Caenorhabditis elegans: one gene and its partner. The protein of the gene in region 2 interacts with the protein of the main gene of each other region in a pairwise test. Each region holds a gene or a part of one and is shown on either strand. Other genes may lie near its edges. The genes, in order: sup-36 and fbxc-32.

Region 1 (11,597 bases), on a different chromosome or scaffold from region 2:
GAATGAAAATAAGGTATTCAAGGATGAAAGTAAGGACGAGACTTCAATAGTTAAATGATTGTGGATACTTTTAATAGCTTTCATTATTTGTTTCAAATAAAAGTGTTTTTATGTATCTGTGTTGAATTACTGTGTTTAAAATAAAGCTGATGATTAGCAAAACCTGCCACAAATCAGCTTCAAAATGTTTATTCGGTGGTTCGTATAGTACACATATTCCAGAATTAGAGATCTCTTTACTGATTATTTGTCAATTTCTGAGTTGGAGCAGAAGATGGTGCTTGTTGTCCCTGAATTTATAGATATTTAGAAATTGAATGCTAATTGATCTCTCTTATTACCATATTAGATCCCCATCCGTAATAAGCAGTTGGATAAGCAGCAGCTCCATAAGCATAAGCATATGGATAAGCAGAAGCAACTGGAGATGAAGCATAATAATATGGAGATGATACAACTTCAGGAGTATATATAACTTGACACGATGAAATACAGAAAAGGGCAAAAATCATGACAATTGTGGATTTTTGGAACATTTTTAGATTTTTCAGGTGAGACTCGGAAGTGATTGGAAAATTGAAAAGTTACCGCTTTTATAAGTGTTTCTTTGTGTTCTCTTGCTCTTTTTTTAATAGAAAAGTTTCTAAGTTTACGTACTCATGCACTTGGTTGAAGATAAATAACTAGTCAGTTTGCAGGTGTTCTATTTGTATTAAATGTTGCACAAAGTGCGAGGTTTGCTCAACCGAACTACAAAAAGTTCAACAGAAACAGTTCAGATAATATTCAATGACTTTTTCATACAATCAGAAGAAATCACAAAACCCGTAAGTGCACCTGCATTTAAACAGAAAATTTTTTTGTATTGCGTAGCAAGGGTAGTGGTCACTAAGTGGTGATCGAAAATTATCGGAAGTTCGATATTTCGGCAACTATTGAGTTTGAAATTTTTGAAACTATAAAACTATGTGCGCTGAAATACGTACTTTGTTGAAACTGCAAGAATCGATGAACGACATACTTTATTTTTCAAGAAATTCATTTCAAACAAGAATTATTATCCTGGTAAACCACACTTCTTTACGACCTCCCTTTGATGTTTATATCTCAACTCCAATAATCCTATGTGGAAAGTCCGTTTATCATCAGGAATAATACTGTTGAATGTGAGATTCATTGGTGGAATTGGCCATACGATCATGCGATCACATCTATGTGGTACCACCTTCCGCTCCCAGCATCTATGAAAAATCACAATATAGGGGGTGATTATATATCTTTCAACGTTCTTCACATAACATGAGTAATCGAAATTTCCATCCTTATCAGTCCATCTCGTGGAATAATTTCCATGAAACAATACATTTTCATAGAACACGTCAAATGGTATGTAGATATGGTTAGCATATGGTTCTTCGTGGCAAATCAATCGTCCAGTGATTCGGACGGAAAAATCAGTTGGCTTGGTTGTAAGGAATATGGGCAAAAATAAAATTAGAATGAAAAGAGGTAACTTTTGCATTTCAATGACTTAGCTATTCTGGGAATGAAGAATATATTTCATAAATCAGCACTTTCTCATCCTTTTTGTAAGAGTTTTATGTGTCCCACAACATCTGCTCTCGAGATCTTTTCTCAAAAAAAAACATTGACATATTGTTTTTACACAATATTTGTGAACATATTTTTCAAAGCGGTGATTTCTTTATTTCACAGAAAGATTTCTAAAAAAACTCGGAGGTCTCAATGCTTCTTGACATGATAACCAAGACGGAAGATCACTTCGCTCAGAGAATTGTGTACAGTGTCGTGGTAAACCGAAGCTTCACGTGAAAACTGGTAAAATATGTTATTTGACTTCGCATCTCTGGTAGATATCATACCTTCAGAAATTCATTTTCGTGAAGTGGGACAACCATTGCAACTTCGTCAATCAATGCTTGAACTTCATTTGCCGTTTCGTTGAAAGCATTGATGGCTTTACGATACGTTTCGCCTTTTGCTTTCACCTCTTTCGTGGTTTTTGAAGACTTCACCTGAAAATTGTTACTTGATCCACGTATTATCCGAAAAAAACACTTACATGGTGACGAGAATCATCGATTGCATGGAGCAAGTTATTCAAATTTTCTACGTTCGAATTCAATATCTCACTTTCCTCTCCAGTGTACAAACGCATCTTTTTAATCAGATGAGAACGAGCTGAAAATGTGTATTATTTTAGATGTTTGTGTTTGAATTATTTGAAATGCTCACTTCTTTTCTGCACCTGGATCTCCTTTTGAGCAATTCTTCCACAGGCGCTACTGTATTTTTCCAGCATTTTCTGAAGAATTATTATTTGAAATGTTTCAAATATTACGACTTACAGAATGTTGCCCATCAAACTGATTTTTTCCCAAATAATTCAACCATCCTCCAAGAACTTCCCATGGATTCTCGCCGGGAGCACACAAAACTGCTTTCTTTGCCATTGCCTTGGGCATGAATTGAACTTGAAGTTCGATTACATTCACAATTTTGTAGATTAAGTTGTGGTAGGAGGTGAGCTTATCGATGTTCCTCTGAAAATGGATTATAATGATTCAAAAGTGTTTTAGAACGGTCGTTCGCGAGGCACGACCTCCTTTGATTGGCTACTACTGAATATACAGACTACTAAACATACACTGTTGTCGCCAACAGAGACATTTAGTAATGAGTTCAATTCAATTCAGTACCTCAAAACGTGGCTCTAACTTAGTCAGCTCGACAACTCCAACTTTTTGTCCGATGTTCACATAAAGTCGGTTGACAAATCCAGCCTTTGCTGCTTTTTCAGCAATAAGTTCCTTTTCCTTCTTTTGCTCTTCATTTTGAATGCAATTTGTTTCTGAAGATATCATTCAGGTCTTATGCATACGTATTTAAAAACTCACTTTTCTCCATTTTGCACTATGATCGATTACGATTCAAAGGTGAAATGAATCAATTTGGAAATAATTTTTGAATCAAAATAACGTGGCATTAGATAGATTTATTTAATTAGCAAAAAGAAACACGTTATGAACTTTTAAATATTTATTATATGTTTATATTTTTAAATACAAGTTTTATTTATATGTGCCAATACCAAACGTTTTTAGAACTTTTTCATTAAAAAAAACTGCTAAGCCTGCCGTCCGTTCTAGGATCGTTGCGTAAAACAGGACCAGAGAAATCAAAGTGGTATCTTCCATTTTGCAGGTGCCTGCCTCATGCCTGCCTACGTGCTTACCAACATATCTGCCTAACTGTATGCCTATGTGTTCAAAACCTACTTCGATTCAACTTAAATCCAAAAGTTCACAAATGCTCATCACAAAAAGCAACTCACTTTTCCTTTCGGAACACTGTTTCTCATTTTGGAATTGATCATGTCATTGTTCAAAGATCGCTGATAAGAAAATGAGAATTGAAAAAAATCGACTTGTTCACTACAGCATTTTGATGAATTACCCAAATTGAAAGCAAGAGTAGTCGATCTTTTAAGATTCAGAAAAGGGAATTTTCCTACCTAAATAACCTTAAAACTTTTGTTCAAACAATATTTTTAATTAGATTGAAACTTTTCCTGGATTTCAAATTACATATATTAAATTATTTTTGGGAATATTTGCTACTGGATGGTCGATTCTCTGGTTCTTCACGGCCTAGTCTCATAGCATCTTTAATCCAAAAAGTGTCAAGAGTAAGTTTGTTAAGCAAAGAGTCTATGCAAACATGCATCAATCGTATATAAACGGTAACTTTTCAATTTCCAAATCACTTCCGAGTCTCACCTGAAAAATCTAAGAATGTTCCAAAAAACCACAATTGTCATGATTTTTGCCCTTTTCTGTATTTCATCGTGTCAAGTTTTATATACTCCTGAAGTTGTATCATCTCCATATTATTATGCTTCATCTCCAGTTGCTTCTGCTTATCCATATGCTTATGCTTATGGAGCTGCTGCTTATCCAACCGCATATTATGGATGGGGATCTAATAAGGTAATAAGATATCAGTTAGCATTCAATATCTAAATATCTATAAATTCAGGGACAACAAGCTCCATCTTCTGCTCCAACACAGAAATTGACAAATAATCAGTAAAGAGATATTTCATTTTGGAATATGTGTACTATATGAACCACCGAATAAACTGTTTCCATTTTAGTTGTGTTAATGTTATTTATTTTTAATGTGTCTTTACCGTATGGTTTGATTATCAAGAAGGTTTTTCTATAGAGTTCAAAAAGCAGCATGCAAAAAATGAATCTGGAGTTTGAAACACATTTCATTTGGACCATGTCCGAGGATTTTTGAGGTTTAGGTGAATTTCATAGCTGTTCTCAAAGATTGAACTCACATTCGTTTTTTTTAATGCTAATTATGTATAACAGAGTAAATCTTTAAGAAATGAAGTAATTCAGGAATATTTAATAACGGTAATTTTAATACGGTTTCATAGTTAATATAATTGTGTTCCAATTCCCCATCTCCAATAATTCGTCTATACCAAACAGTTAGTCAGAGAGTTCAAGGTGTGCCTGAAATGACAGTCCATACCTTTTTAAGCAAACATCATTCGAAGTATTTTATCGTATGTGTGATTCACATAAAACTCGTCGTCTATATAAAGCGGTAACGTCGTCTATATAAAGCGGTAACGTCGTCTATATAAAGCGGTAACGTCGTCTATATAAAGCGGTAACGTTATATAAGCGGTAACTTTTCAATTTTCCAATCACTTCCGAGTCTCACCTGAAAAATCTAAAAATGTTCCAAAAATCCACAATTGTCATGATTTTTGCCCTTTTCTGTATTTCATCGTGTCAAGTTTTATATACTCCTGTTGTATCATCTCCATATTATTATGCTTCATCTCCAGTTGCTTCTGCTTATCCATATGCTTATGCTTATGGAGCTGCTGCTTATCCAACTGCATATTATGGATGGGGATCTAATAAGGTAATAAGATATCAGTTAGCATTCAATATTTAAATATCTATAAATTCAGGGACAACAAGCACCATCTTCTGCTCCAACTCAGAAATTGACAAATAATCAATGATCTCTCATTTGAAATATATGCACAATAAGAACTATTTGAAATGTCAAAATAAATTATCTGACTTTATTTGTGAAGCCCTAAAATTATTCCACAGCAATAAACACTTAAAAACAAAAAATCTTAACACAAAATTTTTAATTAAAAAATGTGGTTAAAAATACTACAAAATATTTTTTCAACGTAACAACCTTAAATGTTCTAAAAGCCGAAATGTTGTTTTTTGAACATATATAATAAAAAATCAATATTCCTATCTTTGTATGATATTTATCAATTAAAATTCATATATAACGAAAATTTTAAAGGTAAGTTCCGGGCTTCTCAAGCAGAATTTTAGAACTTAACCACATAATTATTTCAGAATTTGTAAAAGTGTCTATCAAAAAAGAATGGCAGACGATGGATACGAAGTAATTGGTCCCGTCTATTCGGTGCCTCCTCTTGCATCACCGATGCCCACGATGGTTCCTCCATCGCCACTCGCAGTCACTCCAAAGGTTAAAAAGGATGAAGATTCTGGATCAAGTGCGGCGGAGACGACCAGAGCCGGAAAACATCGAAAAAGGACAAACGCCTCAGAGTATGAAGTGGTTGGTTTTTTAATGATTTTGGCTTTTTTTAGCGATCTAGCTTTTCTTGTTGAGAAAATACTGAAAAGAATAGTATGACATGAGTATTGGTTAACAGAAAAGTCCCAGAAGTTTCTGTAATTTTGTTAAATTCTTCAAAACAAGAATCTTCAAAAAAGCCTTTTTTTTTAATTGAAAGTAACTCCTCTTTGCTTACATCAATATTATATAAATTCAGAGCAATATGGAGAGCACCCACCATGATGTAGTTTCGATCAAGCACAGACCAAACTCGTGTGACGTTTGCCACGTGGCGACTCTTTTGTTCCTGATTGTTATGGTGATCGCCATATCGACTCCAGTTCTCCTTTCTGCAAGTAAGGGCGGACTTCCATGGATTGAGAATAAGTTGATGGAAGAGTCTAATTAAGAGTACTGCCGAGTTTGAATAAAGATTTTATGGGGAATTTTTTTGTACTCACATCTTTCAAAAGTTTCCTGAAAAATTACTAAGCTTACAGTAACCTTACAGTAACGCTCTTTACGCAAATGTAAAACTTTTACATGTATTTACATAAACAAAAGTTTTACATATTTAAAATGACCATGCTTTTTTCAAAAATCTCAACGCTTTAAAGCGCTATGAACCCCTGAAGCGCCAAAATCTCTGCGTCTATTTAATTTGAATTCCGCGCGCAAATGAGCGACCATCGTGTACTCTCGGACAATCAAATAATTTGTTGATTTTCCACAAGTTTATGTGTTCTTCGAATTTTCTCATTATTTTTCAGTTTTTTAATTGTATTAATAAATTTATGAATGCATTTTGAATGGATTGATGCTCAATGAGACAAAACTCTTGTTTTATTGAATTATTTGGTTGTATTCCCGCATTTTTTCTATTCCACTGAAAAATAAGTTTTTTTTTCATTTCGATCTTTGGGATCTTTCAAATATGACTATTTTCTCTTATTTCTACGAATAACTTCATCTATTGAAAGTACTCTAGTTTCCCAATTCAAGAAAAAACATTTTTACATGAATGTGAATTCCCTCTCGAGACTTATCCGAATAATTAAAAGAACTTTTTACTACTCCTTCCAGAATATTAAAAATCTACCGTTGTCTATCTTCCAAAGTGTTCATTGCTCCATTCGCAATAACATTTTTATCGCACAATAATAACCGTTTTCTCAGCCACTGTTTTTCCAATCCACTTGTTACACTACACTCGAAATATCGGGAAAGTTCAAATTCCACTGTTCCAAGTTCCAAATGTATTGGTTGCAGTATCGATCGGAAAACAATAAACTCCACTCATCCTGCGTAGCACACCTCCTTCTATTTCGAAATCAATGTTTCCTCGTCATATGTTGTATCTCTCACACCCTCCGTCTTCTTCTCTATACTTGTAAAAGAGCGCGTCGCGCAATACTCATAGAGTTTCATTCTTTTGCATTTATTCAGTCATTCATCATATTCTTCTTTTCTCTTGCTTATCTTTGGAATTCCTCTGACATTCATTCTACCATTTACTAGAATTATAACATTGATTTTGTAAATACTCTTCCTCATTCTCTTGCAATAAAAAACAATTTCCTAACCGAAATCATTTCAGAACTTGCACTACATCTTCCGTTAACAATGCCATCTTGCGAGATCAAATTCGACTTCAACGACTCTGACGAGTCAGTCACTGTTCGTGAAACTCGCATTATCCTGCTTCTTCCAGTCATCCGTCGCGCTGTTGAGCTCCAGGTAAGATATCAGATTTTTTTTTTTGAGAAATATAGATTTAAAAATAAACGTTTTTTTCAGTATCCGGATTTCGCGACCGAGGAGAATGCGGTGATTGAAGCTCCATTCAGGGTTCCATTCAAGAAGGATGCTGGAGTATTCCTCTTCGATACCATCGCTCGCTACGCTGCACCAACCGATGACAATGTCCATGAGATCACTGTTGAACAAAGTTACCCAGAAGCTGGACCGAAGACCTTGGATGAGCTCAAAGAAATCATTGAACTCGCCAACTTCTGGGAGTGTACCACTTACATGGAGTGCATCGGATTTGCGATTGCAAAGAAGTTGGAGGACAAGACCATCGAAGAGATCGCCGCTTTCATGGGAGTCGAATGCAATCCACCAGGAAACTTCTTCGCAGAGGAAGACGGATGGATTCATCCACCAGCAGACGCTTTCCAGAATGTCCAATAGATCCGATCCCCTCGTAATTTGCTCTGATCTCCCACTGCCAATTTCCATGATTTTGTGTTAAATATATTCAAGCTCAATACTTTCACTTTTTACCTCCTTGTAATATATTAAATACTTATCAGAACTTTTTCAAATTGATTTTAAGGAATGAATAAAATGATTTTCTCGAAATGTGCTCACAAATCTTAAAAAGAACTCGAAATCAGAATTGCCAAAAAAATCAACAGAGAGGAAAGTAATTGAGGACGATTCATGCAAAATTACAGTATCAACTCGATTAGTTCAACCGTGAATTGAATAAAAAAAATCGACGTCAAATCCACGGAAACAAGGTTGCCACGATTTTCAGAGGTACTCGCCCTATTCCAGTTATTCCGGATTTTGATGAATTACCGTAGCTCACGATGTTTACTATTCCTTTCAAATTGAAAGTTTCAATGTCATCATACTTCCGTGAAAAAGTGAGACATTCAGTTTTAAAGGCACATGATTTTTTTCTGAGTTATTATCGCGACGATTTCGGCTAGTGCTCACGCTTTTACAAATGTATGATAGCTCTCCTAGTTGAATTTTGTTTTAATCTGAAAACGTTTAAATGGGAATATTCAGCCCAGATGTTCTGCTTTTAATACTACATGTGCAAATTTGGAACACTGCCAAGTGATCGATATTATTGTGTATCTGACATTGTTCAATATATATCTACTTCCAATTTACAAAGGGTCATAGATTGCCCTTTCTTCCTACAATAGCAATCTTGGCAGTGATGTTTACCTCTAACGTCTTGCCAATGTATTCTAGGTCACATCTTTCGACTTTCTTCCCACTGTTCCACATTGATTGTGACAATGAGCACAGTTTAAAGCGTCGTAGCAGCTGGTATATCTTTTCTTTCTATTCATTCATAAGACTTTTGTAATATTTAGTTTAACCAATTGTTTCTTTCTCCGCGCGGAGTTTTCCATTCTCATAAATCTTTCATTTTCAAAAATTCGTTTTTTCAGCCAATAATAATGCCATCCTGCGAGATCAATCTCATCTTCAATGACTCTGAGGAGCCAGTCACCCTACGTGATACGGGGATCATTATGCTAGTTCCAGTGATTCTTCGGTCGGTTCAGTCTGAGGTACGTTAGCCCTGAATTCAAAATTAGTATTTTCGAAACTAAATCTCGAATTCTTTGCAGTTCCCCGACTTTGAGAATCAAGATAACGTCAAGGTTACTTCTCCACTTTCAATTCCGTTCAATAAGAAGGCAGGTGTCTTCCTCTTCGAATATATTCAAAAATATGTTCCACCAAATGATGATACAATCCACGAATTGACAGTCGTCGAGAACTACAAAGAAGCTGGACAGAAGACTTTGGATGAGCTCAAAGAAATCATTGAGCTAGCCAACTTCTTCGAGTGTACTGATTTCATGGAATGTTTGGGATTTGTGATCGGAAAGAAGTTGGAAGACAAATCAGTTGAGGAGATCGCTGCGTACATGGGTGTGGAATGTAATGCACCGGGACACTTTTTCGATGAAGCCGATGGATGGGTTCATCCACCAGCAGATGCATTCCAGAATGTCCAATAGATCCGATTCTCCCCCAGTTTGCTCCGATCTCGTTCTGCTAATTTTCATGATTTTTTGTTAAATACAACCTCAATACTTTCAATTCTCGTTTCACTGCAATAAAACTTGTTGACTATATATTTACTTCCACTGTTTGAATTTTAAAGTTTCTGAAATAGTTTATAAAAACTTGGAAAAAATATCACAATACTTGAATCAGGATGCAATAGAAATGAGCACTATAAAAGCTAGCGGCAATCGGGGAAAAATGACAGATCAGTGAAACTTTGGGATTTGGAAAGCGTCGAGAAACATGGTACATTGAACGTGATTATCTACTGTTTCTTCTTCTCATCTTGCTTGTTGGCAGTTTGACTTCCCCAAATATCAGCAAATGCAAGAGTTCCAGCAAAGACAAGAATGGCTCCAAGCCAATGTTGAGCTGAAAAAGAGAGGAATTTTGATTTCTAAAGACGATTTTTTAGTATTTCTTTTTTTTTCCTTTCAGATTAGATTATGGAGCCCTAGTTTACGACCAAAAGAATCACATAACGTTTTTTAAAACATTTGATTTTGGTACAAAGATATGGTACCCGGTCTCTGAACGACCAAAACTTCCCAGCTACCGTACCCGCAAGTGTTCTAATTTTCTACGACTTTTCTGTTTTTTTTCTTCAATATTTTGATTGATCTCCATCAGGAAAAATGTTCTAATTTTTGCATTATAAATTATGAAAAATTGAGCGAAACTCTAAAAATATGCTTTAGGTATGGTAACCGCGAAGTTTCGATTGTGTCGAGACCAGGAACCTTTCTAATCACTTTTACAATTAAAAAAGTCAATAATAATCTTACGTGTAAATGGATTCTTGAAATAGACAATGGAAACGATAAGTGAGAGGAATTTCCGAAGAGTAACAACCAGCGTGACGGTGAGCGAATCAACACGAGAGTTCAGTTGATAGACGTACTTGATGCATCCGTATCTGAAAGAAATATTATATTTATTTGCTAATATCTAAAATTCACTTACTGAAGAAGACAACTTGCAATCAAATCAACCCAGAGAGATGGAAGCCATGGGAATACAGAATGTGGAGCACTGGCAGAAAGTTTCGTAGCCGCTGACACAATGTCGCTTCCCATGATGAGGAAGAATGGAAGTGAGATCAAATGCTAGAAATAAGTTCAGTCAAAATTATTGAATTTGAATGAGGTTACTTACAGTAATGAACATAGCTTCATCTGGATGTTTCCCATACTTCTCGTACATTTGTTGTTGATAGATTGCTAAAACAGCTGAAGCCAATAGAGCAAAAGTGAGCATAATAATTCCAATCGTCCATTCCTTATAATGTTTCGATGCTTCTTCCATCGAAAGTCCCGAATCTCCTTGTGTTGACGTGGCAAGTGTGCAAATGACAATTCCGATGGTAATAGCGAATACGGAAATGTATTTCCGAGCAGAATAACTTTTACCAACCATAACAACTGAGAGAATCAATGTGGCAAGAAGAGAACCCTGAAAAAGTAGGTTTAGCCGGTTTTGAATGAATTTTACATAATTTAAATTGCTTATAAAACCTCTAAAACTAATCATCCGCCAAGGGTGTATTTTTTGGAAAATCGAACATTTTAATTTTTTAAAAAGATTTTTCAAAAAATACCTGTAATTTTTGGTTTCGAATTACATATTTTCATATGTCATAAATTCATCGAAAATTTGGAAATAGTTTGTTAATTTTTTGGGTTTTTTTCAGAAAAAACTGAAAAAATTCCCCTGCGAAATTCCTGGCGCTCACCGATCTGAAGATGATATGAAGTGGAACAGGCACATGGAAATTGAGAGCTTGATTATTGACAACATTGACAATGAAGAACATGGTAACCGTCTTGAAATAACCTCTGAAAAAATTAACGATTTTTACTAAAATAAGAGCAATAAACTCACTTTAATGGAATTTGATTTTTAACTGTGAAGAATTTGGAAGTTGAGACGAGTCCTACTGTAGAGATGAAGAGAAATGTAGAAAATGTCATCAGGTTCATGGCAGATGGCTCTTGTCTGTAAATTTATTTTTTTAACGCTTCTATGTTTGATTTTTAAGTTTTTAAATTAAATTTTTAATTTTGTTAAATTTATTATTTGACCTCAAAATACTTTCATCAGATTCTTGC
Region 2 (12,341 bases):
GACATTCTGACATCACGTGTTGCTTGCCGCTCCCCCCGACCCCCATGTTATGCAAATTATAGACCCCTCTCCGCCTTCTTTTCTAATAATAACTCTGCCAAGCGGAGGGGGGCTAGGACTCCCCTCCTCCTGGACACATGTGGTTCATGTGATTCTTATAAGGGCAGGTAAGATGAGAGGGCTGGAAACGCAGACAGAGAAGACGTGCATGTACTATTGATTTCGGCTAGGAGGGTACGGCATTTCGCAATGCAACTCGGCAAAACGGCCTAACTTCATAGCATACTCTTGCAACTTCTTATCAACAATTAGGCATTTTAGCTTTTAAGCAAACTTTTGCAGCTTTTCAGACGACTTTTGCAATTTCTTAGCAGATGTATAGCTAAATTTCGCTCACAATCCCGGTGGTTTTAGCAACTTCTTAACAGCTTTTTACAAAGTTATATAAATGTTTTTATTAAGTTGCAGGACTTTGCTATGAAGTTGCGACGTTTTGCCGAAAATGTTTTTTTTGCAAATAATTTAGCTTACAGCTTAAACCATGGCAGCAGCACCCGAGCAAATATCCTATGACAGTACACGGCATGTTATTCAGTATATGAAGCCGGATTTGAGGTAGTGCTTTTTTTGGATATTTCATGTTTTTGAACCAGTGCAATAGATAGTTGTTAAACAGCGGCCGATATTTTCGGGGGTTCCGCCGGCTTCACGCCACTACCCATCAATGACCTCTGCCTTGCGGAACCCCGAAAGTGTCGGCCGCTGCCAAACAACTACCTATCGCACTGGGTATTTCACTACGGGGTTGGGGCTAGCTAATTGATTCAACTCTGATAAAAGGGCTTCAGCCCCCGGAGACTTACGTTTGCAAGCCTAATCCTACTAAATGTTTCACTTTCAGATTCCGCCTGTCGCTTACTGTCCATCCCTCCGCGCTGCCGAAAAATCAGTTCCCCTTCACATCAAGCACCTCAGAATTACACCTCATACAATTCAAATCAACAAAACAAGACTTCAACTAGCTATTGGTCAAAAGGGACCAGACAATGAGCCAACTTCATATGATATTGATCAGCATGGCGAGAAGGATCTCGGAAAAATAAGACCAGCTTCTGACGATGAGATCTTAATTGATGGAAGACGTCACGAACTTACCGAGGAGGAGAAAGCAGCCAATAGGCCATTCGAAGTGGCAGCTATTCGTGAGAATTTTCGTCTCTTTGCGTTCATGGCCGATATGGTTGAAACAGACGTTGAACCAACTGAAGTACGATTTCCCAACCATTTGGGACAACTCGTTCGGAATTCGAATCAAGAGTTGGAAAGTGTGATTCCAAGTGCAAACTGGCACGTTACGTTCACTCAAGCTCGCCTAGGCATTTTTGAGCCACTAAGCAAAGGCAAAGGCATGGGCAGAAAGCTACAGGAAAAGCTCATTGAGAGGGTAGCATATACTAAGAAGTTGCATGAAATAATGAAGTATCTAGCGGAAAAGCTATTTGGCGGGAAACACCTTAGAATTCAAAAACTGGAAATTGGCTCAAATCCCGGAGTGCTCCGCTTGCCAAACAATATGACGATTTTCACTCGGAATCTAGAACTCTTTGATGAAGACCACGAGTATCTACTAAAAAGTATTCGTCCACTAATGAACCTGAAAAGCTTGCCATTGGCATCGCTGGAACTCCACGGTCCACTTCCACTTGAAAGTGACGTCATAGAAACTTCCAAGAAGCTTCTTCTCAGTGAGATTCTTGATGTGAATTTTGACGTTGAATTCCAAGAAATAAAGAAATTCAAGAATCAAGAAGTAGTGCTGAAATTTGATGAGGCAAGAGCTCACTTTTATGAGTCTTTTGAAGTACCTGCTGGAAGTTGGGAAGCCCCTGGGCAGTTGCTACAGATTTTTTGTTTATCGTGAGGCTGGCGCTAGAGGGCTTGTGAAGAAGATCAAGGACTTGTACTGGGATGATGCAGAGGTTTTTTATGGGTAAGTGGGAACCTTGTTAGGCACTCTTAGACTTACCAATGACAATTGTAGGTATTCATTTAATTTTTTGAACTCTCTGAAACTCCAAGATAACCTATACGATGTTTCTACTAATTTTGTGCAATTTTCGTAAACATTTTACTGTTAGGATTCTAGACCACTTAAGATTACCTCAGGCACTCAGGCACCTGTATAGATATTTTTTGTCTGAATTCAGCTACTCGTAAGCTATATTTTAGTCTAATTCCCGATAGGTGCTCTCAAAAAATTACTCCCGTTTTTTCAGAGCAACCGAGTTTCCGATCACCTTTAATATCCCGATGAAGTACTCCTCATCGAAAAATGAAGTCAGTATTCACTGCGAACTGGATCCGAATCTCCGATTTCATTGGGTATTTTCCATGACAGTTCAGAAGCCGGAAATTATTGACTATTGATTTTTTGTCTCATTTAGTATGTAAATTTTATGTAAAGCTAGTATTTATTTTTTTTCTTATTTATTTCCCAAACTACCTCGAATTTTTTGAAAATAAACTTTGCTAGTTTGCTTCGACAGATAATTCAAAGCTCTACCGCTGAACTCAGTATATTGGAAGTGGTGTCAGGTTGTCCCATAACGGTTTGATCTACAAAAAATGCGGGATTTTTTCCCAAAAAATGAGACGTCAGCACGTTTTTAACCAAGCGAAATCAGTTGAGAAGTATGCGTCTAAATTCCCGCATTTTTCGTAGATCACAACTAAATGGGACATTCTGACACCTTATTTATAGAAATTTCGCAATAGCAAAAGGGCTAAGGGGAGCACATTCCCACATGCCTGGCGTAGCTCACGTGCTTCAAGAGGGGACGTCTACATGGGTGGAAACGGAGACAACTCTGCACTATTGATTTTGGAGCAAGTGCACTTTTGTTGCAAGCTTTGGCCCTTATTCTAGCATGTCACCATCCATGTCTTCTGCCAGTTGGAAGTACGTTATAGAGCATTTGGAGCGTAATGTGAGGTGAGTTAGAGCAGCCGACAATTCACTGGTTTAACTTTCGAGATGACCCTTGAAGTGTCAGCCGCTGAAAAACAAAACAAATATTTCCAGATGCCGTCTCTCAGCCTGTTGCCCAAGCCTCTGCCACACTGAAAAATCCATTCCTCTCCACATCAAGCACCTGGTCATAAACCCTGACATAAACCCTGACAACCGTCCACCACCATGCAGGGAAACGTGCTCAAAATTACCTGCAAGATTGGGTTCCGATTGTGATCCCAGAGACCGAATATCACATAAGGCTCACGCGAAATAAGCCCTTCCTCCAGGAGAGGGTAGCCTATACCAAAAAGCTACATGAAGCAATGAAGTACCTAGTTGAAAGGTTGTTTGGAGGGAATCAGCTTAAAGTTCAAAAGTTGGATGTTTCGCAGTGCGTTCAGTGGTATTTTGTATAAGTTAAACTAACAGTACACTTGGTGACTCTACAAGGATTTATTATAGACAACTAGTAACACTAATAGACAAGTAACGCAAGAACATAAAGTAAGAACTGATTCGGGAAGTCCCTCCAAGGTTGGCAATATGGTCCACGTGTCCAAGGTTGAGTTGTTCGTATTGGCGTGGCAAGTTCATGGCGTGAATGTTGTTGTTGTTAGATTATCTTGTTCCTTGTATGCATCCATCCGGGGTTCACGTCGCAAATGGTTCACGTGGTTGTTCTTTGTTAGCACTGACTGTTGGTTGTTCCTTGAGCGATGGTGATAGAAATGCTCGGTGTTGTTAGCGTCCATTGTAGAGTACATAATTATACAATAATTATAGAATAATTATTAAGTCGTGAATAATGGAGATCCTGCTCCATGCTATTCGCGACATTGGAAGTTTGTTCCGAGTCTGGAGTGCTCTGCTTGCCAAGGAGCCTAACAATTTGCAGCCGGAACTTGGAATTATTGGATCAGAAGGCGGAATCGTTTTGGAGCAAGTTCCGAGTACTCCTTGATCCCAAAAGCATTCCATTCAAATCCCTGGAGCTCAATGGCTCGATTTCTATAGACGATAACGTCATTCAATCTTCTGAGCTCCTTATTCACAATGGAAGACTTGATGAGAATATTGACCTAGAATTCGAAAAACTATTGAAGCTCGCGAATCAACAAGTCGAGCTGACCACGGTTTATGGATCTCCCAATATGGTTGAACTTTAAAGTTCGAAACCTGTCTCTAGCAAGTTGCTATGACAGCTTTGATCTATATATTGAAGTAGTCCGAAATATCCTCAACCCTTCAAGTTTGGACGACTCAGAGTTTCAGCACCCGGATATTCATTCCGCTCGGCGGTTGATTGTCATACAGAGGCCATATTCAAATTGTCTAAATATAGCTAAAACTATCAGCTCTTTTCCAAATGTTCATATTTATAATGGAGATAGGTTTGATATAAGGTATTGGATTAGGCTTGTGGGAATATTGTTGGCACATACGCCGCCTGTTGGGTCACGTCATTCGCTGCAATTTGACACGAAGAGTGAGGTGAAGGAGATGATTAAGGAGTTGAAGAAGGATCCTAAAGCGAGAAGAGTAAGGTAAGTTATTTGATTTTCGAACATTATATATGTTGGACAAGGCTCATCCTAAACATGTTCCTAAGTCAGGCCTAGGTCTGATCAAATCCTGCCCGAAGTTTAACTAAGATCAGACTACAGTTCAGCTGATGAGGCCTGACTAACTTTCAGAACAATAAAAACTGTGTAAAAAATGTCAGTACAACATGCTAAATGCTGAAAATTTTAATTTCCAGCCACAAGAAATCCTACGTCATCTTCCCTATCGACTCGAGTGCAGAAGTCTACGTCTTCTATTAGAGGAATAAGGAAACTATTGGAACATGGAATTTGGTTATTACTGTTCGCAAGCCTGATGTGAAAAATTAATAAATTCTCAATTTCCTCATAATAAATCGTTTGCCAATTGAAATATTTTTGAAATTTTTTGATCTACCAATTTTTGATAGGTTTTTTTTGATCTTCTAAAGATGACGTGGCAAAACGCTCGAGTATTCCAATCAATAAATTGTGCCACAGCGTTTAGCATTGCCCCACCAACAGTCATTCTCTTATTAGTTTTCGCTCTGTACTTTTTTATTTTTTCTATACTACTTTCGTTTTTTGTCTGTTTCCATTTTAAGATATTATTTTTAAATCCAATTTCCAGCTAGAAAATAATGGCGTACTCATTGCCGCTCACCTATCCAAGTCTCAAATGTGTCATCAAGCATATGGAGGTTAATTCGAGGTATGTTTTATTTTCCTTTAGTTAAATTGATATATTTTAATACAAAATACCCAAGTTTTACTCTCAATTGAACAGAAAATAGAAGTTTTTGGGTCATAAATTACCATTCATATTTTTCAACTTTGAGGGCTGATATATCTGTTCTCGTTGGTTTTATCAAAAAAATTTTGACTGACAAAATGTTTCTCATCTATTTCTCTTTAGTTTTGTAGTTGAAAATTTTTTGATATCGTCAAAAGTAACCGAGTTATGAGGTGTCAAAGTGGGCTTGCACTCCACTCAATGTTTTTTTTTTCAGAATCCAACTTTCCCAAAGATGCCCATCAATCCGAAAAGCTGAAAAATCAATCCCATTGAAAATCGGTCACTTGGAACTGGATCAGTGTCGTGTGAAGATCAACAACACAGACTATTCTCTAGCAGTGGTCTGCAATTACTTCTCAAGCCCGTACGATCTCGATGAAGTTGGATCTATGGATCTTGGTGAGGTGATAGATGAGCAACGAGATGTTGTAGTGGATAACCGAAGTCTGGAAGAAGGAGAGAAGCGGATACTCAGAATGGAATACGAGCTAAGAATGCTGACAGATGACTGGGAAAAGAAAAACGCTCTGATCGGGGAGGCACTTAAGAAGGAACTTAAAATGACGACGGAAAAATCGGAGCTAGTGAACCGTAAATGTTACGTCGGAATTATCAAGAGTCTATTTCTGTCTCGCAGAGTGGGTGTTCCTGCGCCAATTTGGGATATTGATTTTGTGAACAAAAATAAACTGATCACCTTCCGCGATGAAAAGCTCTCCTACAACATGAAGCTTCACCAGGCTTTCAAATACCTGATTTTCAAGTTGTTCAGTGGAAGACGGGATGCTATCCAAGTGAAAAAGCTTTCAATCGAGAATAAAGGGATCCTTAGAGTTCCAGCAAGCCTCAACTTGAAGGTGACCCATTTGGAAATCCTGGGCTCCGGTGTGGATAAAATCGCAATTTCCTTTCAACCACTGCTAGAAGGATCCAGCCTGCAATCCATCAAACTGAACAATGACTTCAACATCGAAAATCCTATACTCCAAACCTCCCCACTCCTGATCTTCAAGAACCCAAATGAAAACCTGTTCCGAGCCAGATCAGCATTCACCAATGTTCGAGTAGAGCTGGAAAAGTCGACCATCTTCCCACGAGAAGCTTTGGACCTTATTGCGAATTGGTTGAGACATGGGAAGGAAGTCGGGACGATTTGGAATTTTTCACTGACCGAGGTTACAGCGCTAGTGTGTTTCAAGGATATCCGGAAGCTGCCTGGCGCAAAGTATGCAGGACATAAAACGTAAGTTGGGTTACTGTAGAAGGGTACTGTACTGCATTTATTAAAATGCAAGTACAGAAGATATGTATGTCAAAAAATAATTTTGTTTCAGAAGCTCTCAACTCGGACGTAGTGTTCTCATCCCTATCAACGCATTTTCGGAAATTCACATCTTTGACGAGAAGGAAGAAGCACAAGACGGAAACGACTGGAGTTTGAAGATCACAGTTCGGAGGAAATTGTGAATTTCGTCGTATTGTAAAATTATTGTAAATTGTCGTAAATTTTTTATAGTTTTGATATTAAACGTTTTATTTTTTTGCAGTGGAATGTATCTTGTGAATATGGTTACTGTAGCGTAGAGCTCCCAGCTGAGTGAAGTGCAAAAAATATATTTGGAGCGGCCGACACGTTCGGGGTTCAGCAGCTTGGCGTAAAATGAGTAGATTGGTGTGTGCGCAACGTACTGCGAAAATGTAGTTATTTGGAGAGGCTGCCACATTCGGGGCTCCACGCCGCATTATACATTCGGATACATGCGGCGACCTCGAGGGAGCCCTACTGTAGGGTTACTGTAGCGGTTCTACTACTTTGTTGTTCTGGAATGTTTTGCCTAAAACTTCTATTATATACATAGATAAGGTAAAACTTGAATGATCATTCATTTTCGTAACGGTTAAGAAATATTAGTTCCATAATTAGCTGCCCATGAATAAGTTGCGTAGTTACTTGTGATGCAGTGGAACACCACTTTTAACACATTTGTAGTAGAGTTATAGATCTTATTGCTATAAATGTCAACTATGGCAAATGGCTGAGTTTCATCGATTCCAGAGAAGAGCTGCATATTCTGACCCCAGAAAAGGTGAAGAACTTCGAATTGCAATTGAGCGATCGAGCCTTGAGATTCAGTTATTATGTAGGTGCATGGAGTTGGGTAGCCGGAGGCTTGATCGGGGTAGCCGGGAGAGTAGAACGATCCATTTCCAGTCAAGAACTGAGTTCCATTACACTGTCCTAAAGCAGTTGGTGTCGGCGTGGGCAGATTCTGTGGATGCTTGCAGATGAATGGAATTTTATTATTACAGTTGGTGCTCAACCATTGCCCCTTTGGAATCACACTCCCACTCATTGCCAGGCTTGAACATTTTCCTAGGTTTGGGTTGAAATATCCAAAGTTGGAATAATCAAACGTGCTCCCGTCGACCCAATACTTCCCGACTCCATCAGTTGCTGCTCCGATCCTATACTCTGCTACTCCTGTGGAATTTACCAAGGACTGAAGGAAGAGGTTTTCAGCCTGAGAGTGAATTGACACCAAGTCTCCTGAAACTCTTTGGCAGACTTGTCGGGCATCAGGCTCATCTAGTAGATTTGTGTTGACTGAGTAGCAGAAGCCATTGTACGTATGCTCACAGGAATCTGAAATTCTCAGGGTAATAGCAGCTGACATATTGCGGGTCTTACCTGCCCTGGGCACCTCACAAAAAAAGCTGTAGTAGGAATAATCTCCATCTGAGGATATCCACTTCCCGGCGGAATTTCCGGATGTCAACATGTAAGCACGAGTTCCTACATCGGTATTTGGATTGCCAGGTGCAAAGTTGTTATAGTTGCTAGTTGTTCCAGAGCCATCAGTCCAGGAGCATGAGGAAGCTGACGGATATTGACAGGATAAGCCAAGCCAAATGGGCCGAGTCAGGTTGTTAAGGCCGGAAATGAGCTTGAGAGTGAAATCGTCCTAAAATAGACAAAATCTAAAAAAAAAACTCAGGCCCACAAAAAGCTCACTTGTGCTTCTAGAACTGAAACCATGTTGCTTCCTTTACTAAAATTTCCGCACACATAACTTGCATCTTGGTAGAGCATCGGCGTATTGAATAACTGAAACTTGTTTGAAATTCAAGAAATCTTCAAAACTCTCTAGGAAACTCACCTTGAGACAAGTGTTGTCCTTGTAGCTCCAAAACCCCTCAGGACAAGGTACTGAACCATTTGGCGTAGGTGTAGGTGCTCTGGTGGGGGTGCCAGAGGTGCTAGTCACTGTAACTCATACCTATACCTCTCTAGGTTTTCTCTAGGTTCCTAGGTCTTACCGTGAAATGGAACTTCACAAATATACTTCAACTGTGTGTATTGATCTGCAGATACCCATCTTCCAGCTGAACTTCCTGATACCAGCATGTACACGTAATTTCCGACATCCAAATTTGGGTTTCCTGGAATAAAAATTCAGAAGTTCTTTGCTTTCAGCTCTTTCAGCTCTTACCAGCGACAAAATTGCTATAGCTGGAGGTGTCGGAACTATAATCCGTCCAGTTGCAGGGGCTGCTAGTCTCAGTGCAGATCAGGCCGATCCATTTGGGATCCGATGAGGTTACCGAAAAGGCTAGTGCTTTGTTGTCCTGAAAATTATTTAAATTATATTGAGATGCCGAAAAAACAGCCCAACTTACAATAGAATTATGAATTGAGACTAAATTTCCACCGGGAAAACTTTGACAATCGGAGAGTGCATCCATAAAAAGCTTCTTAGTGGTGCTCACCTAAAATTTCAGTTACAATACATAAAAAAGTAGGGCTACTAACCTGGATACATGTGTACCCATTAAGTACAATAAACCCATCAGGGCAACCAGAATAGCTGGGAGTTTGAGTGTTGTAAGGAGCTCTTGAGGTAATTTGGGAGACAGAAAATGTAGCATATATATGCAGTAGACATATTATGAAAATTTTCATTTTGCGATTCCTTTTTGAACCGGCAAATTACTTTTAAGCACATTTTTGAAGAGGTGATAAGCCTCTTAACCACCCTCAATAGGTTGCTGATAAGGATGACATCTATGAACTTGTGTGATGCTGGAAATCAAACTGAAACCCAGTTTTTGATAACGATTCTTTTAAAGAAATGTGAAGTTTGATGCTGGCGGAAGCAACTAATATGAAGAATTGACCCTATGTTGCAAGATTTAGTCATTAGTCTGGTTTTGGGCTTACAGCTTGGTGCTCCTATAGTACTTCTACAATACTCCTACAGTATCCCTAAAACACGTCGAAAAGTGAGCTGGTTCACTTGTATCATGTTATCTGTTATTTTCAGATACTCGAAGTGCGTTGGTGTCGATTTTCTAAGAGCTTGGTTGGAAGGGGAAACGGCGGAGAGTTGGAATCTGGAATTTAGAATAAATTTGAGTGAGAAAAAGAAACCCAGAAACCTATAACTTACCTCAACATAGGATCGAAATGCTTCACAATGCATTTGACGAATTAGGGTCTAAAGCTTATTTTTTCCGGAGGCAAGAATTTTGAGAATTTTGCTGAAACTTACCAAATTCTCCATAAAATAAATTAAAAAGAGTTGTGGGAGTAACTAGGTAAATGATAAAAGTTACAACAGCAACTAGTAGGAATACAGGGCGGCTAGACATGAGGTGTGTAGAAATGAAGTCCTTGCAAAGGTGCGCGAGATCCGATAAAAAGGGCGAATAGGTAGAAAAAGTGTTTAGCTTGAGACCCGATCTTTGTGAGATACGGATAATTTCCCGTTTTGAATAGGAAATGGCATTTGAAAGTGCAAAGTTTGTAGAATTGTCGTAAACTTTCTGATTTATAGGGGATTTCAAAAGCAAGCTTTGTCTTCAAGATTTAAGGAAATTTATTCAACAATAAAAGCAAGGAACGAAAAAAAAACAACCATTAAAACTGTGTCGGTTGAACTTTGAAATAAACTTTGGATCTTTCCATTATGTCATCGTAGAACACGTAGATTTCCGAGAAGTCGTTCATTTTGATCGCAATGCTCAATGGGAAGTGAGATCTGGAAAATTAGCTTTAAGCTACAAGCTATAAACTACAAACTACAAACTACAAACTACAAACTACAAACTACAAACTATAAACTACAAACTATAAACTATAAACTACAAACTACAAATTACATACTACTAATTACTAACTAAATCCTATAAAACTAAAACCTACAAAGTAACCACTGTAAAGATGCACATGGTGCATCGATGGCTTCAAATGCACTGCTAACTACAAACTACAAAATACAAACTACACACTACACATTACAAACTACAAATTACTAATTACACAATACTAACTTCCAACTAAAACCTATAAAACTAAATCCTAACAGAATGACTTGGATGCACATAGTGCATCAATGGCCTCAAATACATTGCTAACTACAAACTAAAAACTACAAATTACAAACTACAAACTACAAACTACAAACTACAAATTAAAAACTACAAACTACAAACTACACACTGCAAACTACACACTACTAACTACTAACTAAAGTCTATAAAACTAACTATAAAATCTTCAACCAACTGTAAAAATTCATTCTGACTGCACATGGTGCATCGGTAGCCTCAAATAAACTGCTAACTACAAACTATAAACTGTAAAAACTCCAGCTAACTGAGACACGAACTACAGATTTTTGTAGTTTGTAGTTTGTAGCTTTCCAAATCAAAAGCTCACCTCCGAACCACCTGGAATCTTTCATCGAACTCTTCTTTAATATCACAGACCATTTTCTTAGCATAATCTCTTCCACGGAATCCTCCGATCGTGAACTCCGTCCCAATTTCCCTTCCATTCTCCAGCCATTCATAAATGAACAGCTTAAAATCCCCAGAAAGGGAAATCGCATGAACTCGGGCGTTTGTGATACGGTGGAAGTGATCACTAGTTGGAACGATCAGAAGTTCGGCGGTAAGGATAATCGGGTGGGCAAAAGCCCAAGTATTGGAAAGACTTAGAGATTTTAGGGGGTAACTTGAGGTATGTAGAATTGTATCCAGGGTGACGCCGGTTTCGATGATGGAAACGTCTAGATTCTTGCAGATCATGTTGAGGTTCTTCGAAAAGATGTAGTGAACTCTGTCAACTGAAATTTGAAGGGTCTCCACTGTAATCGGAACACACCGATCTCCCAGAAGCTTGTCGATTATATATTCCATCGCAAAGTTCATACGTCCATCGTTAGCTGTTGTATTCGTTTCTCTTTCATCAAATACTATCCCGCTAATACCGGATCTTAAGATTTCCACAGTGAAGGGAGAATTTGGAGTTTTCGCGGAAAAAATTGGTCGAAATCCCACGTCGTCGACCTGGAAGCAGTCGAAATCCCAACTAATGAATTTTATATACAGGGGAAGTGAGAGCTCTGTGGTGTGGTAAGATGGGCTCCGCGATGAGAGGCAGAATCTGGAAAATATTACAATTTTTATTGATTTAAGAAATTTTTGTTCAAAAACGCTAAGTATTGGAACAGTTGAGCTCTAGTTCAAAATTTTGTTAAAAATTCAATTTTGCAAAATGAGGGAAGTTTTGTTTTGCATGTTTTTGAATTGGCGTGAGACAGCAAAAAATTCAAAACTTTAAATCAAAAAATGGGCCTTAGCCTTAGCCTGAGCCTGAAACTACGCTTAAGCCTAAGCCTAAGTTTCAGCTTAAGTTTAAGCCTAAGCCTAGGTTTACGCCTACGCCAATTTTATTTCTTGAAAAAAAAACTGTATTTTTCTGAACAAGTCTGTGACAAAGTTTTTCAATCAAAAAATTTAAAAAAAATTAAATTAAAAAAAAAAAATAAAACTCAAACCTTTTATGTGACGTCATATATCGAGTGATACATTTCAAGCTCAAAAAGCTTATTGGTTTTGAGTCCATATAAAGAGAATAGTGTAATAAATGAAGAGACCGGTCGATAATATGTTTGATGTGCAGAGATAGAAAGGGCAATGTGAGAAA

The links.
Region 1: the proteins of fbxc-32 (region 2) and sup-36 interact in a two-hybrid assay, tested with the Caenorhabditis elegans proteins (one large-scale study listed by BioGRID).

What each region holds. Positions count from the first base shown.
Region 1 is NC_003282.8:6,594,419-6,606,015, forward strand, and holds sup-36 (SUPpressor), read left to right. Parts: upstream 1-7,255; 5' UTR 7,256-7,287; coding exon 7,288-7,401; intron 7,402-7,461; coding exon 7,462-7,857; 3' UTR 7,858-8,025; downstream 8,026-11,597. Other genes in the region: irld-7 (Receptor L-domain domain-containing protein), read left to right, coding at 1-58; nspb-3 (Nematode Specific Peptide family, group B), read right to left, coding at 237-290, 342-536; F38A5.22 (TransThyretin-Related family domain), read right to left, coding at 1,058-1,522; F38A5.6 (BAR domain-containing protein), read right to left, coding at 1,744-1,836, 1,884-2,036, 2,084-2,202, 2,257-2,326, 2,370-2,564, 2,721-2,872, 2,919-2,928; nspb-4 (Nematode Specific Peptide family, group B), read left to right, coding at 3,816-4,010, 4,060-4,113; nspb-5 (Nematode Specific Peptide family, group B), read left to right, coding at 4,780-4,971, 5,021-5,074; F38A5.8 (uncharacterized protein), read left to right, coding at 5,464-5,664, 5,882-6,073; F15B10.3 (BTB domain-containing protein), read left to right, coding at 8,262-8,318, 8,862-8,984, 9,045-9,440; nstp-2 (UDP-xylose and UDP-N-acetylglucosamine transporter), read right to left, coding at 9,755-9,861, 10,275-10,405, 10,453-10,595, 10,645-10,941, 11,222-11,324, 11,371-11,484.
Region 2 is NC_003280.10:941,036-953,376, reverse strand, and holds fbxc-32 (F-box domain-containing protein), read left to right. Parts: upstream 1-5,185; 5' UTR 5,186-5,195; coding exon 5,196-5,266; intron 5,267-5,564; coding exon 5,565-6,593; intron 6,594-6,684; coding exon 6,685-6,817; 3' UTR 6,818-6,892; downstream 6,893-12,341. Other genes in the region: clec-43 (CUB domain-containing protein), read right to left, coding at 7,249-7,994, 8,040-8,313, 8,364-8,456, 8,509-8,615, 8,669-8,791, 8,842-8,977, 9,029-9,118, 9,162-9,311; fbxc-36 (FBA_2 domain-containing protein), read right to left, coding at 10,269-10,389, 11,070-11,798, 12,193-12,260.